Saccharomyces cerevisiae S288C: one gene and its partner. The protein of the gene in region 1 interacts with the protein of each later gene in a biochemical or structural test. Each region holds a gene or a part of one and is shown on either strand. Other genes may lie near its edges.

Region 1 (3,831 bases):
TTTATTTGGAGATGACAATGATGACGATGATGATGATGATGTTAAAAAATCGGAGACTGAAAAAAGTGATAGTGATAGTGATGAAGACGACGAGGGAGAGAATATCAACCATAGAAGTCGTCATAGAGAAAGTCTCGGGTTAGATGATGATGAAGCAGAGGAGCAAGCCATGTACACCCGAAAATTTTATGGTGAGGATGCTAATAACTTTTCTGATCAAGATGAGACTACTCACACTTTTAAAGAGGAAAATGTAGAGCTTGTCAGACATATTATTCCAAGTAAAGCTAATGTGAATGAAACGGCGTCTCACAACGAAATTTTCTATGCTAGAATTCCCAACTTTTTAACTATCGATCCAATTCCTTTCGACCCTCCAAGTTTTGAGGCCAAAGTAAACGAAAGGGCAAGCAATTCAGCTTCTAGGGAGGATCAACTGGACGACCGCCTGATTGATGAAAACACTGTTAGATGGAGATACTCTCGTGACAAAGACCAACATGTCTTTAAAGAATCAAATACACAAATAGTGCAGTGGTCAGACGGTACATATTCGCTAAAAGTTGGTGAAGAGTGTACAGATATATTGGTCAACGATACGAGCAACACTTTTTTGACAGTATCGCATGACCAACAAGAGTTGATCCAGTGTTACGAAGGGGGTGAAATAAAAAAGACGTTGATGTTTATTCCAACTTCGACGAATTCAAAAATACATCAAAAACTAAGTAAAGCTGTTATAAGAAGGAACCAAAGACAAAGCAAGGGTCCTGGAACATACATTGTAAGTATGGATCCTGAAGTGGAAAAGAAGGAGTTAGAGAGAAAGCAAAGCCAGATTTTAAGAGACAGAAGGAGAAGACAGCTCAAAGAAAAGGAGAAACAAGAATCCCCAGATGCCGCTTTTGAGACGGGATTTAGAAAGCAAAATTCACCCACTACCTATGGAGCCTCGAGAAGAAATGAATATGAAGAAGATGACTTTTTAGTCGACGACGATGAGGAAGAGGAGGCTGCGTTTGACGACGAAGAGGATGATAATGAGGAAGAAGAAGAAGAAGAGGACGCGGATGAAGAGAACGCCTCTCGTCTAAGAAATTTAAAAAGAGAAGGAGCAGCAATGTACAGAGAAGAGGAAGAAGAAGAAAAAGATAGGAGCGAGACAAAAAGAAGAAGGGTTGCGGTCATCGAGGACGACGAAGACGAGGATTAGAGGAGACGTTACTTTGTTTATATATATTAGTATGTACAATCGCAAAGAAATGGAGTGATGACATGTTGTAGTATTTAGTATGAGGTTACTGTGTGGGAGGTTTTACCATGATTTTTGGCGAGAACACGCCATGAAATGTCTTTGTACGAAACTCATTACCCGCATTAATATTTTTTTTCTTTTTAAAGCTCAGTTGACCCTTTCTCATTCCCTTCTTAAAACAACTGTGTGATCCTTGAGAAAAGATAAATTACATACACAACATAAACCCAACTACGATCGCAAATTATGTCTTGGCAAGGTATGTGAACGAGACAATTATCAATTGATTAAGAAAGAAATGAGTCGGAGGTTAGCTTGTGTGACAATGTTTGGCAATGCCCGATTTTTGTTGATGCGCGTAATTTCGAAGATTAACCACTCAGAGTAAATTACTAACTGGAATATCAAAAAACATATGAAATTTCAAACATGAATTTCTTTCCGTTTTTTTCTCCTACTTTTAAACAGCATACACTGATAACTTAATAGGAACCGGTAAAGTCGACAAAGCTGTCATCTACTCGAGAGCAGGTGACGCTGTTTGGGCTACTTCTGGTGGCCTATCTTTGCAACCAAACGAAATTGGTGAAATTGTTCAAGGCTTCGACAATCCAGCTGGTTTGCAAAGCAATGGTTTGCATATTCAAGGCCAAAAGTTCATGTTGTTGAGAGCTGACGATAGAAGTATCTACGGTAGACATGATGCTGAGGGTGTTGTTTGTGTAAGAACTAAGCAAACCGTTATTATTGCTCATTATCCACCAACCGTACAAGCCGGTGAGGCCACCAAGATTGTCGAGCAATTGGCTGACTACTTGATTGGTGTTCAATACTAATTTATGCAGGTAAAGTTTTCTTGCCTTATACACCACCTATTCTGGCATCTGCGGGATTTCGCTTCCTATTTTACAAATATTTTATTGATTGACGCTAATTATCACTGTAAAAGGCGCACTTTTTATATGTAGTCACATCCGGTATTTAACATATTTACGAAACAGTCTTAAGAATATCGACATTTGATATACTTATGTTTAATTTATCTACATATTACAATCATACGAGAAACACGCAAAAACAATTACTTGAATACTTCGAAAGGAGACCAATTTGGATGTACAACCCTTTTTTCGCCCTTTTCCTTCGATATGTTATTGATAGCTTCAAAGTCCTCAGTAGACAAAGTAAATATTTTCCTGTTCGTTTTGATTCGATCGGGATTCACAGATTTTGGCAAGACAACATAACCTCTTTGGACGTGCCAGCTAATAACAACGTGTCCGGGTTGAACGTTATTTTTCTTCGCAATTTCAAGGATAACCGGTTCCTTCAATAGTGGAGCATCGGTACTACCTAACGGAGAATAAGCTTCAACCACAATGCCTTTACTTTTACAAAAATTAATCAATTCGTCTTGAGGTAGTAATGGATGTATTTCGACTTGGTTAGCAGCTGGCGTAAGCTTATTACCTTGAGATGCTAATAGATCTTTCAGGTTATTTATAGAAAAGTTGGAGACTCCAACGGCCTTAGTTTTACCAGTCTTTGGTAGTTCCTGCATTAATTCCCAGGTTTTGATGAAATTCCAATTGGTGATATCCACTGCACGAGAACCATCCTTCTTTGTTGGCACACTCAAGATGTCTTCATTTTTGATGTAGGCTGGATCTAATCTGGCAGGCCAATGCATCAAATATAAGTCTACGTAGTCCAATCCTAACCTCTTTAGTGATTGATCCAGCGCTACTTCAGGTTCGTGGTGTTGTGTACACCATAACTTTGTAGTAACAAAGATTTCTTCCCGAGGAACACCTGAATCCTTGATGGCTTGACCGACTTGGTCTTCATTACGGTAAATAGCAGCAGTATCAATGTGTCGGTAGCCATCTTTCAAAGCGGTTAAAACAGCCTTATAAGCATCGTTCTCTTTCGACTGCCACGTACCTAAACCTATTTGAGGGATTTGGGCTCCAGTATTTAGAGAAAGGATTTTCGTAGAATCATGTAAAGTAGCAGGCATTTTTCTATCTTAATTTAGTAATGAGAGCTGTCCAAATTTTAGCTTGCTAAGATGCACCTATTAAGCTCTCATCCTGAATCAAGTCATTAGAATGTCTTGATTCTCCCGGTTTTATACGCCCAGTAAAGCAATTCTTTACTGCCGTAGTCTTTTCCTGAAAGCTCGGTTTCTACTCTAGGGAATTAAGGAGAGCAGCGGTGTGCGATTCGTCACACGGGTGAATGCCTGATAGGCATATTATTAAGCCGTGTTTGCAATCTGCGTGCTAGATTGATTCTACCCCTTTCTGAGAAGGCGAAATGACCTTGCTATGACAATGAGGGAGAAAAGACCGCCCTTCCTTGTTCTTCCCCGGAATAGTCTGCCCCGATTGTTCGCCGGTGTTATAACTTACAATTCTTATACACTCCATAGGAAGTTTGTTGACAAGAGTTAAGTTTCAAATATCTAAAGCCAGGAAGTATGATCACCCAAGCATATCCATTGCAATATGTAAGACATTCAAGCGGATTTCTGGGACTTTAGAAAGTGAAATTTAAAAAAAAAAAAATTTAAC
Region 2 (3,774 bases), on another chromosome or scaffold:
GTTTTGATTTGGTTCCCAGAAACAAAGGGTATGAGCATAGAAGATATTGATAAATTCTTCGAATTTGAGAGTAAAGAGGGCACCAATTTACATGGGGAAAAGGGTATCAAAACGCCGGACTCAAATTCTAATGGCGGTTCTACAAGATCCTCCCAAGAAGGGCAATTGCATAAACCTATAAAACTGAAAAGCGATGAAGAGATGATCATATGATACACGGTCCAATGGATAAACATTTTTTATCAACACTATGATATATAAATATAATAGTTTTTCGTATATATATTCCTTTTTTTGGTCAATTTTTGAAATTTTCGTAGAAAAGGGAGAGACAAAACACATTATATCAATGAAAACGTACAAAAAGTAGATAAAGTCAGTGCTTAAACACGTCTTTTCCTTAAAAATACTTTATTATTTTTATTTTATTGAGAGGGTGGTTTAAAAATAGAAATAGAGAGAGAGGTACATACATAAACATACGCGCACAAAAGCAGAGATTAGAAACACTTGTGGTGAACGATAGATGGACCACTTTCGTCGTATTCTTGTTTTGAGATCCACATTTGTTGGAAGGTAGTCAAAGAAGCCAAGATAGAACCACCAATCCAGACGGAGTACTTTCTTTCTGGAGGAGCAATGATCTTGACCTTCATGGAAGATGGAGCCAAAGCGGTGATTTCCTTTTGCATTCTTTCGGCAATACCTGGGAACATGGTGGTACCACCGGACATAACGATGTTACCGTATAATTCCTTACGGACATCGACATCACACTTCATGATGGAGTTGTAAGTAGTTTGGTCAATACCGGCAGATTCCAAACCCAAAACAGAAGGATGGAACAAAGCTTCTGGGGCTCTGAATCTTTCGTTACCAATAGTGATGACTTGACCATCTGGAAGTTCGTAGGATTTTTCAATTGAAGAAGATTGAGCAGCGGTTTGCATTTCTTGTTCGAAGTCCAAGGCGACGTAACATAGTTTTTCCTTGATGTCACGGACAATTTCTCTTTCAGCAGTGGTGGAGAAAGAGTAACCACGTTCACTCAAGATCTTCATCAAGTAGTCAGTCAAATCTCTACCGGCCAAATCGATTCTCAAAATGGCGTGAGGTAGAGAGAAACCAGCGTAAATTGGAACGACGTGAGTAACACCATCACCGGAATCCAAAACAATACCAGTAGTTCTACCGGAAGAGTACAAGGACAAAACGGCTTGGATGGAAACGTAGAAGGCTGGAACGTTGAAAGTTTCAAACATAATTTGAGTCATCTTTTCTCTGTTTGATTTAGGGTTCATTGGAGCTTCAGTCAAAAGAACAGGGTGTTCTTCTGGGGCAACTCTCAATTCGTTGTAGAAGGTATGATGCCAGATCTTTTCCATATCGTCCCAGTTGGTGACAATACCGTGTTCAATTGGGTAACGTAAAGTCAAGATACCTCTCTTGGATTGAGCTTCATCACCAACGTAGGAGTCTTTTTGACCCATACCGACCATGATACCTTGGTGTCTTGGTCTACCGACGATAGATGGGAAGACAGCACGAGGAGCGTCGTCACCGGCAAAACCGGCTTTACACATACCAGAACCGTTATCAATAACCAAAGCAGCAACCTCTAAACATATAATATAGCAACAAAAAGAATGAAGCAATCGATGTTAGTACATGAGACTTAGTAACAGTAGCAAATAAAAGAAGAATATCACTATCACTTATCACGAAAATATTTCAGTTTTTTTTTTTTTTCCAAATTTCAAGCCCCTATTTATTCCAATAATATCGTGGTTATTACAGATCAGTCAATATAGGAGGTTATGGGAGAGTGAAAAATAGTAAAAAAAGGTAAAAGAGAAATCTCTCGAGCAATTGGGACCGTGCAATTCTTCTTACAGTTAAATGGGATGGTGCAAGCGCTAGAACATACCAGAATCCATTGTTAATTCAGTAAATTTTCGATCTTGGGAAGAAAAAAGCAGTAAGCGTGAAAAATCTAAAAGCTGATGTAGTAGAAGATCCTATTCTTTAACAAAGATTGACCTTTTCTTTTTCTTCTTGGTTTGAGTAGAAAGGGGAAGGAAGAATACAAGAGAGAGGAAAAAAAGGAAGATAAAAAGAGAGCGTGATATAAATGAATATATATTAAACAAGAGAGATTGGGAAGGAAAGGATCAAACAAACCCAAAAATATTTCAAAAAGGAGAGAGAGAGGCGAGTTTGGTTTCAAAACGGTTTATTTATTTATGCAAGAGGACGTGGAAGAAAAAGAAGAAGGAAGAAAAAAATTTGAAAGAAAAAAACGCGTGGCGGGTAAAGAAGAAAATGGAAAATAGAGGCCGGGTGACAGAGAAATATTGAGGGTTAATTGGAAAATATGTTAGGGTGAGGCATATGTTTTTAAGGGTTTTGAGGATCCGATAAGGAAGAATGTAGGTTAAATGTTGTGCATTAATTGCTGTGGCAGCTTACCCGCTTCCCCACACATTTTGGTAGTATCTGTCCTCTTGTTATTGTTACTGTAATTGTGTATATATGTTCTCGCGTGTGTCTTATTTACTTATTTAGTTATTATATTATATGGGTCTGCAAGGTAGAGGCGCGCTTGTTCAACAGCAGCCCCCACCGGTGTTGGTTAAACTCTGTCCCTTCAGGTTGACGTTCCCTTTGTCTTCCTTCTTCTGAGTGGTTTCGTTCAGGTTTTGTTGGGACATACTTTCCTTGATTTGTCTAGCCATGGTTAAAAACGCATCCTCGACGTTGGTGGAGTCCAAAGCACTAGTCTCTAAGAACGGCATCTTATTCGCGTCCGCAAATTCCTTTGCCACGTCATATTCCACGACACGCTTGTCCTTTAAATCACACTTGTTACCTACCAATAGCTTCAACACTGTTGAGGTTGCATACCGATCAATCTCTTGCAGCCACATCTTCACGCCGTTGAAGGATTCTTGGTCAGTGACATCATACACGATAATGATCCCATGCGAACCACGGTAGTAAGATGAAGTGATAGTACGGAAACGTTCTTGACCTGCAGTGTCCCAAATCTGTAGCTTTACAGTCTTGCCGTCCAGTTCTACAGTCTTAATCTTGAAGTCCACTCCAATTGTGGAGATGTAGTCGTTGGTATATGTGTCGTCCGAAAACCTCAAAAGTAAACAGGACTTCCCGACACCGGAATTCCCGATCAACAGCAGTTTGAACAGGTAATCGTACTCGCTATTCATATTAGTGCTTTTCTTGTTTTATTTATTTCAACCTGGGCCTAACAGTAAAGATATCCTCCTCAAAACTGGTGCACTTAATCGCTGAATTTGTTCTGGCTTCTCTTCTTTTTCTTTATTCCCCCCATGGGCCAAAAAAAATAGTACTATCAGGAATTTGGCGCCGGGTCACGATATACGTGTACAGTGACCTAGGCGACGCCACAAGGAAAAAGGAAAAAAACAGAAAAAACAACAAAAACTAAAACAAACACGAAAACTTTAATAGATCTAAGTGAAGTAGTGGTGAGGCAATTGGAGTGACATAGCAGCTACTACAACTACAAAAGCAAAATCTCCACAAAGTAATATAATGAGAGAAATCATTCATATCTCGACAGGTCAGTGTGGTAACCAAATTGGTGCTGCATTCTGGGAAACTATCTGTGGTGAGCACGGTTTGGATTTCAATGGGACATATCACGGCCATGACGATATCCAGAAGGAGAGACTGAACGTGTACTTCAACGAGGCATCTTCTGGGAAGTGGGTTCCAAGATCTATTAACGTC

Evidence for each region. The genes of interacting proteins can lie anywhere in the genome.
Region 2: the proteins of PFY1 (region 1) and ACT1 form a complex in vitro, tested with the Saccharomyces cerevisiae proteins (4 studies listed by BioGRID, with this or other methods).

Annotation. Positions count from the first base shown.
Region 1 is NC_001147.6:550,558-554,388, reverse strand, and holds PFY1 (profilin), read left to right. Parts: upstream 1-1,501; coding exon 1,502-1,514; intron 1,515-1,723; coding exon 1,724-2,091; downstream 2,092-3,831. Other genes in the region: Paf1-complex subunit LEO1, read left to right, coding at 1-1,213; glycerol 2-dehydrogenase (NADP(+)) GCY1, read right to left, coding at 2,337-3,275. UniProt on the Saccharomyces cerevisiae protein: Binds to actin and affects the structure of the cytoskeleton. At high concentrations, profilin prevents the polymerization of actin, whereas it enhances it at low concentrations. By binding to PIP2, it inhibits the formation of IP3 and DG.
Region 2 is NC_001138.5:52,760-56,533, forward strand, and holds ACT1 (actin), read right to left. Parts: upstream 1,938-3,774; coding exon 1,928-1,937; intron 1,619-1,927; coding exon 501-1,618; downstream 1-500. Other genes in the region: YFL040W (uncharacterized protein), read left to right, coding at 1-213; Rab family GTPase YPT1, read right to left, coding at 2,607-3,227; TUB2 (beta-tubulin), read left to right, coding at 3,577-3,774. UniProt on the Saccharomyces cerevisiae protein: Actins are highly conserved proteins that are involved in various types of cell motility and are ubiquitously expressed in all eukaryotic cells.